Mus musculus: one gene and its partner. The protein of the gene in region 2 interacts with the protein of the main gene of each other region in a biochemical or structural test. Links are inferred from orthologs where the notes say so. Each region holds a gene or a part of one and is shown on either strand. Other genes may lie near its edges.

What was found. The genes of interacting proteins can lie anywhere in the genome.
Region 1: the proteins of Birc3 (region 2) and Ripk2 form a complex in vitro, tested with the Homo sapiens proteins (2 studies listed by BioGRID, with this or other methods). The link is inferred for Mus musculus from reciprocal best matches to the Homo sapiens genes BIRC3 and RIPK2.

The regions. Positions count from the first base shown.
Region 1 is NC_000070.6:16,160,842-16,164,866, forward strand, and holds the start of Ripk2 (receptor-interacting serine/threonine-protein kinase 2), read right to left. Parts: upstream 2,803-4,025; 5' UTR 2,556-2,802; coding exon 2,383-2,555; intron 1-2,382.
Region 2 is NC_000075.6:7,870,360-7,874,518, forward strand, and holds the start of Birc3 (baculoviral IAP repeat-containing protein 3), read right to left. Parts: upstream 2,812-4,159; 5' UTR 2,776-2,811; coding exon of another isoform or gene 2,631-2,775; 5' UTR 2,464-2,630; exon of another isoform or gene 2,328-2,463; intron 1-2,327. UniProt on the Homo sapiens protein: Multi-functional protein which regulates not only caspases and apoptosis, but also modulates inflammatory signaling and immunity, mitogenic kinase signaling and cell proliferation, as well as cell invasion and metastasis.

The DNA of each region.
Region 1 (4,025 bases), on a different chromosome or scaffold from region 2:
TCTCTCTCTCTCTCTCTCTCTCTCTCTCTCTCTCTCTCTCTTAATGGTCCTGAGGAACAATACCTGAAGTTGACCTCTGGCCTACCCATCATGCATGTGGGTCAGCAGCACATGGATCTCCTATGTGTGTATGCTAATACAAACACATGCATGTACATACAAACATAGAAAGGTATGATGTATTCCTCCTCCCTGCCAGCCATTTTATATACAGTCCAACCCTTGAATCAACTCTCTAAAGCTTGTTTCATTCTCTCTGGTTTACATATTGGAGCATCTACAGTCAGAAAAAAATGAATGATCCTTTGGTGACAACAATACAAAGTGACAGGGTTTAAGTCAGATTTAAATTGTAGCCCTGGTACTCTAACATCTGTGCTTTTCTATTCTATTGTTTGATGAGAAAAGCAAATCAGATAGTTTGTGAGGTTAGAATTCAACAAGATTGAGGGGGAAAACAAAAGCAAAAGATTTTTAGAAACTTAAAATGCAAAATACAGCTTCAATAATTGTATCATGAAAATGGCCTAACTCAAAATGTCAATAGGAAACAGCTCTCCATCTCTAGGGTACTTGAACAACCAATCAGAGTCATCAGTCCATTAAGGCTGGAAGACTGCTATGGAAGTCCCACTCACTGGCAATGGAGAGTGACTCACTAATTATTAAAATAATATGCAACGTCACCTAGACTTATTTTCTTTTCAGGTAATCTTAAAGAACAATGGGTACATTATCCACACCAGAGCACAACAAATATACATACAGTGTTTATTATTCATATTTAACAGGTGAGGAAGTAAGACACCCTCAGAGTCAGTTGCATAAGCCTAGGCCTGTGCTCATGGTAAGATCTTAGACAGCAAGATAAAAGAATGCAATGCAGTAAGGTAGGGGATTGTGCTGGTTTTATAAAGACAATGCCCTATCCAATGCAAGGAAATTATACCATAAGTGGTTGGTGAATATGGGAAAGCAATACCATCCTGTCCATCTTTTTCCCTTGGCCTACAAATGGCACAAACGAAGCTTTGAAAAGCAGAATCAAAAGTGAGAAAGCAACTAGCTTTAGTCTACCTAGTGGTCTATTAGTGCTACATTTCCATAGACCATTCGTTTGCTTGGTACTAACCAACCTCCCTTTAAAGTTGACTACTTAGGCGCACGTGCTCGAACACGTGAACACACACACACACACACACACACACACACACACACACACACAGCACTGGCTCCACATACACTGTGATCTAGCCCTTGGAGGGAGGGAGGGCGCCTCCAGGCAGATGAAAGTCCAACATTCTACCAGGGCTGAAGCAAGAGAGTTAGTTATCTGATGCTGTATCTGACCTGATACCCAGGGTTAACAGCCTCTGACCAATAGGGCCGCTATGATCTCTGTATTTTCACACTAGATCCAGCAGGAGAAGAGGCCTGTAGCCACCAAGGTTAGCAAGTGCACTAAGAACTGAATGAAGGTCTAGTTCAATTTCTGATGGAAGTGAAACACACAAGAGTTCTGACTAGATCCATTGACTAACACATACAGCCACAGATCTATGGTATTTAGTTGTAATGTTTTCCTAGAAACAGAAACCAACGCTTTTTTTTTTTCTTTCTTCTGAATATGTGGGAGCTGGACACAAATAATACCAGGGCAAGGGATGGTCAAAACTTTTATTCTTCACAAATTTTGACCATTTAATAGCTTTTGATTCATTTTACTGTTACAAAAAACATTGCACACTTCCTTTGGGGACTTCCAAGGCAAGAGCTCGAATAACAACTGGTAATGTAGAATTTGATAACTGAACTTCATGAGGGCACGTAATAAACCACAAAGAAAACAAAACCAACCAAATCAAACCAAACCAAGCCATAATATGCAGGCTCAGGAGCAGGAGTGAAACACACATAAAACCCTAGAAAAATATTTTGACGTTTAATCAATATAAAAACACCGGTATAGTATTATTATTTTTCTTTTTAGTGCTAAATGCTCAAACTCCGGTGTGTATTTTGCAGTCACTGCGTACTTCATTTCCAAGAGCAGTTTTTAGAGTTCCACAGCTCTTACCGCTAACAGCTAGCTAAAACAAAGCAAAGCCCACAAGCACTGTACCAACACACGTCGGGTTCAATAAACAGGGTTTTAGAGGTGGCCGTGATTGCAGGTTTTTGGAGAGTGGGAACACCTCGGGTGGGAGGAGAGGCAGGGCGAGTTGCAAAGTCTGACGCACGTCCAGGATGGTTTCTCCCTTGGATCAGGTTAGCCCAAGGACTTAAGGACTCGCCGCGGCGGAGCCGGCGCATCGCCATAGTGCGGCCGGTCTGTGGACCACCCAGCCCGCGTCTGTGTGGGGCCCCGCGCCGGCGCCCTACCTGTCGAGCAGCGGCGTGTGGATGTGTAGGTGCTTCACTGCCACCCGCACGCGCCAGTCTGCGTGTCGTGCCGACGAGACCGTGCCAGAGGCGCCCCGGCTGAGGTAGTGCAGGTCGGCGAGCTTGTGGTACGGGATGGGGGGTAGCGCGCTGCAGATGGCGTCCCCGTTCATGGCTCCGGCTGCGCGGCGGCTCCGCCCGACCCTGGCCGCGGCGCTAGGTCCCGGGGCGGCCCATTCCCGCGTGGCCGCTGCAGTTCCGGCCCGGTCAGCTGTGCCAGGGAGCCCGTCGGGTCTGCGGCCGCGCCGGGGTGGACCGTCCTCCTCCCTCCTCCTGGACTCGGCGGGCTCCTCCCTCCGCCGGCCCTCCCTGGGCGGGCTCCTACCTTCACCAACTCCTCAGCCCCTGCCTCCTACCCCTGGCTTCTCCCTCCGCCGGCTCCTCCCTCCGCCGGCTCCTCCCTCCGCCGGCTCCTCCCTCCGCCGGCTCCTCCCTCCGCGGTCTCCTCCCTCTGCCGGCTCCTCCCTCTGCAATCTCCTCTCTCTGTGAGCTCCTCCCTCTGCCAGCTCCTCCCTCCGCCGGCTCCTCCCTCTGCCAGCTCCTCCCTCCGCCGGCTCCGCCCTCCGCCGGCTCCTCCTTCTGCCAGCTCCTCCCTCCGTCGGCTCCGCCCTCCCCCAGCTCCTCCCTCCGCCGGCTCCTCCTCCGCCCGCTCTTCTGTCCTCTGGCTCCTCCTTCCGCCGGCCCCTCCCTCTGTAATCTCCCATCTTTGCGGGCTCCTCCCTCTGCCGGCTCCTCCCTCTGCAAGCTCCCCTCTCTGCGGGCTCCTCCCTCTGCCGGCTCCTCCCTCTGCAGATCATGGGCGTGTCTCAGAGGCCTCCCTCCCCCCACAAGCCGGGTGGACATCGCTGAGGCTTGGAAAAGATTTCCTCCGGGGAAAATCCCTCCGGAGTTCTCCAGTCTGGTGTCAGGTGGGTCGGCTGGATTTTCCTTTGGCCCGAGTGTCTTCCTTAGACTCCAAACCCTGGACGTGATAGGGTGTGGGGTGACTACTGCTGGGGAGCCTGGTGCCCCACTTCCTGAGCTGTAAACCATCTGGTTGCTTCCACTCCAGTCTTTACTCAGTGGCTGCCACTTGTGAGAAGTGAGGTAGAGAGGCTAGCGCTGTCAGTGTGACAAATTGAGGTGTTTAGCTTATATGACTTGCTCCCTTACCAGGAAACGGTTTCTTCTTTTATTCCTCAAAGCCTACTCACAAATAGAAATATAAAACCATTTCTTGTGTTTGGGAAGTCTTCCATCCAAAAAGAAAAACAAAGGCAAAAACAAACAAAACCAAACAACCAAAATCCAGCACTATTTCATCTTTTTACTGTAAACACCTTTCTACTTAGATAACTGTTCAGTACGATGTTTGGCGCAAATATCTCATATTTGTGAGCGATATAGTTCCACGATCCTACACGCACCAGGATACTACAATCTGTAATTGTCCCTTATATTATTAGTGTAATATATATAACACCGACATTTCCTTCCCTATACTCTAGTTCTTAATAGTTTTTTACAAGTCTACATTCTAAGATTATGTTTTCTTGGGCTGGAGTCATGGGTAAGCCGTTAAGAGGGCTTGTTCTTCCAGAGGA
Region 2 (4,159 bases):
GGCCTTGTTGGAGTAAGTGTGTCACTGTGGGTGTGGGCTTTAAGATCCTCATCCTAGCTGTCCAGAAGCCAGTATTCTACTAGCAGCCTTCAGATGAAGATCTAGAACTCTCTGCTCCTCCTGCACCATGTCTGCCTGGATGCCAGTGTGTTCCTCCTGGATGATAATGGACTGAACCTCTGAACTTGTAAGCCAGCCCAACTAAACGTTGACCTTATAAGAGTTGCCTTGGTCATGGTGTCTGTTCACAGCAGTAAAACCCTAACTAAGACATACTGCTCCAGCACCCGCTTGCATGTTGCCACGTGGTGATCATGGACTTCCCCCTGAAACTGTAAGCAAGCCTCAGTTAAATGCTTTCCTTTATAAGTTGTATTGGCCATGGTGTGTCCTCACAGGAACAGTGCAGTGACAGGGTACTCAGGTATACTCCTCCATGTGCCTGCCAAGGAGCAGTAGAGCTCAGTCCTATGGTGGTTCTGTTTTCAACCTTTCGAGGGTCTGTTCCACTGATTTCCTTAGAGGTTAGACTAGTTTGTGTCCCCAGCAACAGACGCAATTGTTTTCTCTACATCCTGAGCCGAATTTGTAGAAATAACCCTCAGTCCTTCCAAGATCACTGTTTCATTCAGCTGGCTCCGTTCCTCACTAGGTGAGGCCCTCAGCCTGCCTTCCTTTGCCTGCCCTCTGTTCACAGGTCTATTGGCCACCTCAGAGAAACAAGTGCCCCTTCATGGGCCCTCCTACTACTCTGAAGGACTCTTCTTCATATTTCCTCAAACCCCGCAGGGTCCTTGTCCCTCTATACAGTAATGCTGAAGTCTCTACTCCAGCCACTCCTGAGTCTGGCAAGCCGGCAGAACATTTGTTTATGAACCACATTTCCACACAGACAGCCAGTCCGTGTGCCAGCACCTTTCCCTCTCCATACTCATAAAATAAAATTTGCTTCCTCTTAGGCCTGTTCTGATCCCTGCCCTAGTCCACATCAGTGTGTAGGAGCCCTCTTTCTTTCCAGTGGTTCCTTATAGATGAGCTTGGCACCCCAGTTTCTTCTCTGCTTACACTACCATGTCCAGTAGACCCAGAGACTATTGTGTGCCCCCACCCTCTGGAGCAATTAGCTGTGCCATCTTCCTCCCTCCACCTTGGACCATATCTCCTACAGAATAGGAAATAAGCTTTAACCTCTGTAGTAGCTGCAGCTACAGTGCCTAGCTGCTGTTGTGTGAGACACACAGCCCAGACTGACCTTGGACACCTGATCCTTCAGCCTCCACCTCCCAAGTGCTAAGATTACAGACCTGCACTACTAACCCCAGCAAACACTGGCATGGAAGAATTTCTTAGCACAGCTGGCTGTGCCCAGCATGTTCATGGCACTTTCATTTGTTAATTTCCCCCTATTACTGCTAACTTGACCTCGTGGCAATTTACTCCCATGCTCTGGAGTCTCACATCACAGGATTTCAAGAGAGTCAGTCCCTTTTCCACCAACAGTGTAATGTTGGGCAAGAAAACCACCAAGTGGCCAGACACGCCCCTAATCCCATTACCCTGGAGGCAGAGGTGGGTAGACGTCAGTGTTTCCTTGAGTTCAAAGCCAGCCTGTTTACTTATCCAGTTCCAGCCCAACCAGTGCTCCATAGTGAGACTAAGAAAAGCCACTCGTGCCTCAGTTTCCTAGGTGCGAAAAGGGGATAGTAATGGCACCTGCTTTTTACAACGGATGATCAGAACCTGGCTTGGGGCAGACAGAAACGACTCCAGAGATTTACCGGCTAGATTAAGAGCACTGCTGAGAAATTGAGTACAGTGACTCAGGCCTATAATCCCAGCACTGAAGGGGTTAAGGCAGGAGGATTTTTCCGAAGTTCAAAGCCCCAGTCAGCTATAGTGTGAAATGGTCTCTGACACACCCATCACTCCTTTAATCCAAGCACTTGGAAGGCAGAGGTAGGCAGATTTCTAAGTTCGAGGCCAGCCTGGTCTACAGAATGAGTTCCAGGACAGCCAGAGCTACACAGAGAAACCCTGTCTCGAAACACCCCCCCCCCCCCAAAAAAAAAGAAAGAGCTGTAGTGTTTTCCTGAGCTGGCCACCAAGAAAACAACCATGAGCTTTCCACAAGCTCATCCTTAGACGCCAGAGTTCTCACTGTGTCAAGTCTCCCAGATGCCTCCCGCAGCAGCCTAATTAAAATGCAACTTCTCGGCACCTACGCCTCACTCAGAAAGTCAGAGACCGGAAAAGACTCAGAAAGTCGAGCTCCCGCAAGCGGGGAGGGGGTGGGGGGAGGGGGGGCAGCCAGGGTCAGCGTGGCCAACCTGTAGGTCGCCCTCCCGCAGGACCACCGATGCATAGAAACGGGTTTTGCAGGTTCTCCTTCGGATCTAGTCACCCCGGTGATCCTCGAGCCACTACGGGGACCCTGGCTGGATCCCCACGCGCGCGCGTACTCACCGCAGCCCACTTCCTAGGCTCTGAACGCCAGCAATGACCTCTGATCTCCGGGGGTGGCACCCTCGCCTGGCCTGTGGGGTGTGGCTGGGTGGCGCGATACCTTTAAATCGTCCCCAGCTAGGCCTTAGCCACTGCCCCCACCCTGCCCGGCTCAGGGCTGCTCAGACCTGCGGTGCTTTCCTCCAGGGCTCCGGGGAACTCCAGGGTGAAAACCAGACGCACTTCCTCCTCACCCTTGGTGGCCACCCTGGCTGGGGATTTCCGTGGCTCTTCTGTGCGTGACTTCCTGGACCCAGCTCCTCTTCGTGTCATTTACTGAAAGTTTTTACTTGAAGGCTCTTGGCTCTTACAAAACATTGAAAACAGATGTGCAGCCTGTGAGTTCCGCCTTAAGAGGCCTATCCCCACCCCACCCTCACCGCGCTTCCCTCCTGCAGCCTCCAAGTCCTTCACTGTAAAAAAAGAGCCACAACTGTCCGGAATATAACTGCTAAGTTAAAAAAGTAAGACGTTAGGAGGAAAAAAACCCGAGTAACTCTGTAAAAGTCTCTGGTTTCACTTTTTGTTTTTATCAAGAAAGAGAGCTGAAAGGAACATTTGTTAAAAACAAACAAACAAACAAAACAAAACACGTATGGATCTCAATTTCAGGTTATTTTTATTATTTCAAAGATCAGAACTACAGCTGCGGGTAGCAGCAAATGCCTTTAATCCCAGCACTCAGAAGGCCGAGGCAGGAGGATCTCTGTGAGTTCCAGGCCAGCCTGGGCTACATAGTAAGACTTTGTTTTTTAAAAATGCTAGAACCACACTGATTCTTGTATTTGAAAGGTGTGATTGTGGGCCGGAGACGTGGCTAAGCAATTAAAAGTACTTGCTGCTCTGGTAGAGGACCAAGGTTCTGCTCCCAGCATTCACAAGATGGCTCACAGACATCTGTAACTCCAGTTCCAGGAGATCCATTGCGGCCTTCTGGCCTCTTCAGGCACTGCACCTGTATTCGCACAGGCGTGAGGCAAAACACCTGTACACATATTTAATATATAAATACGTTTTAAAAAATATTTTGAAAGGGTTAGAGAGATGGCTCAGCAGTTAAGAGCACTGACTGCTCTTCCAAAGGCCTGAGTTCAAATCCCAGCAACCACATGGCTTACAACCCTCTGTAATAAAATCTGACTCCCTCTGCTGGTGTGTCTGAAGATAGCTACAGTGCACTTACATATAATAATAAATCTTTAAAAATATGTTTTTTTAAAAGTCTGGGGTTTTTGTTTTGTTTTGTTTTTTTTGTCCTGATCTGTTTTAGTGGTTTTTTTTTTCTTGTATTTTTGTTTAGTTTTTCCTTGTCAAATTTTGTTTTATAAACAGGATGAATAAATCTAGAAAAACAAAATTCCTTCTTTTAGCTTTTTCTCTTTCAAGGGAAGGTGCTTAGCTATATCAATGTTCTTGTAAAAACTTGACTCTTGCCAGGCAGTGGTGATGCATGCCTTTAATCCCAGCACTCAGGAGGCAGAGGTAGATGGATATTTGTGAGTTCTAGGCTAGCCTGATCTACAGAGTGAGTTCCAGGACAGCCAGGCTACACAGAGAAACTTTGTCTGCTTTCCTCCATCTTCAGCCAATTAGCATCAGACTTAAGGAGACATAATCTAGCGGTGAGAAACCTGCCCTGGTCAATCTAGAGATAAAA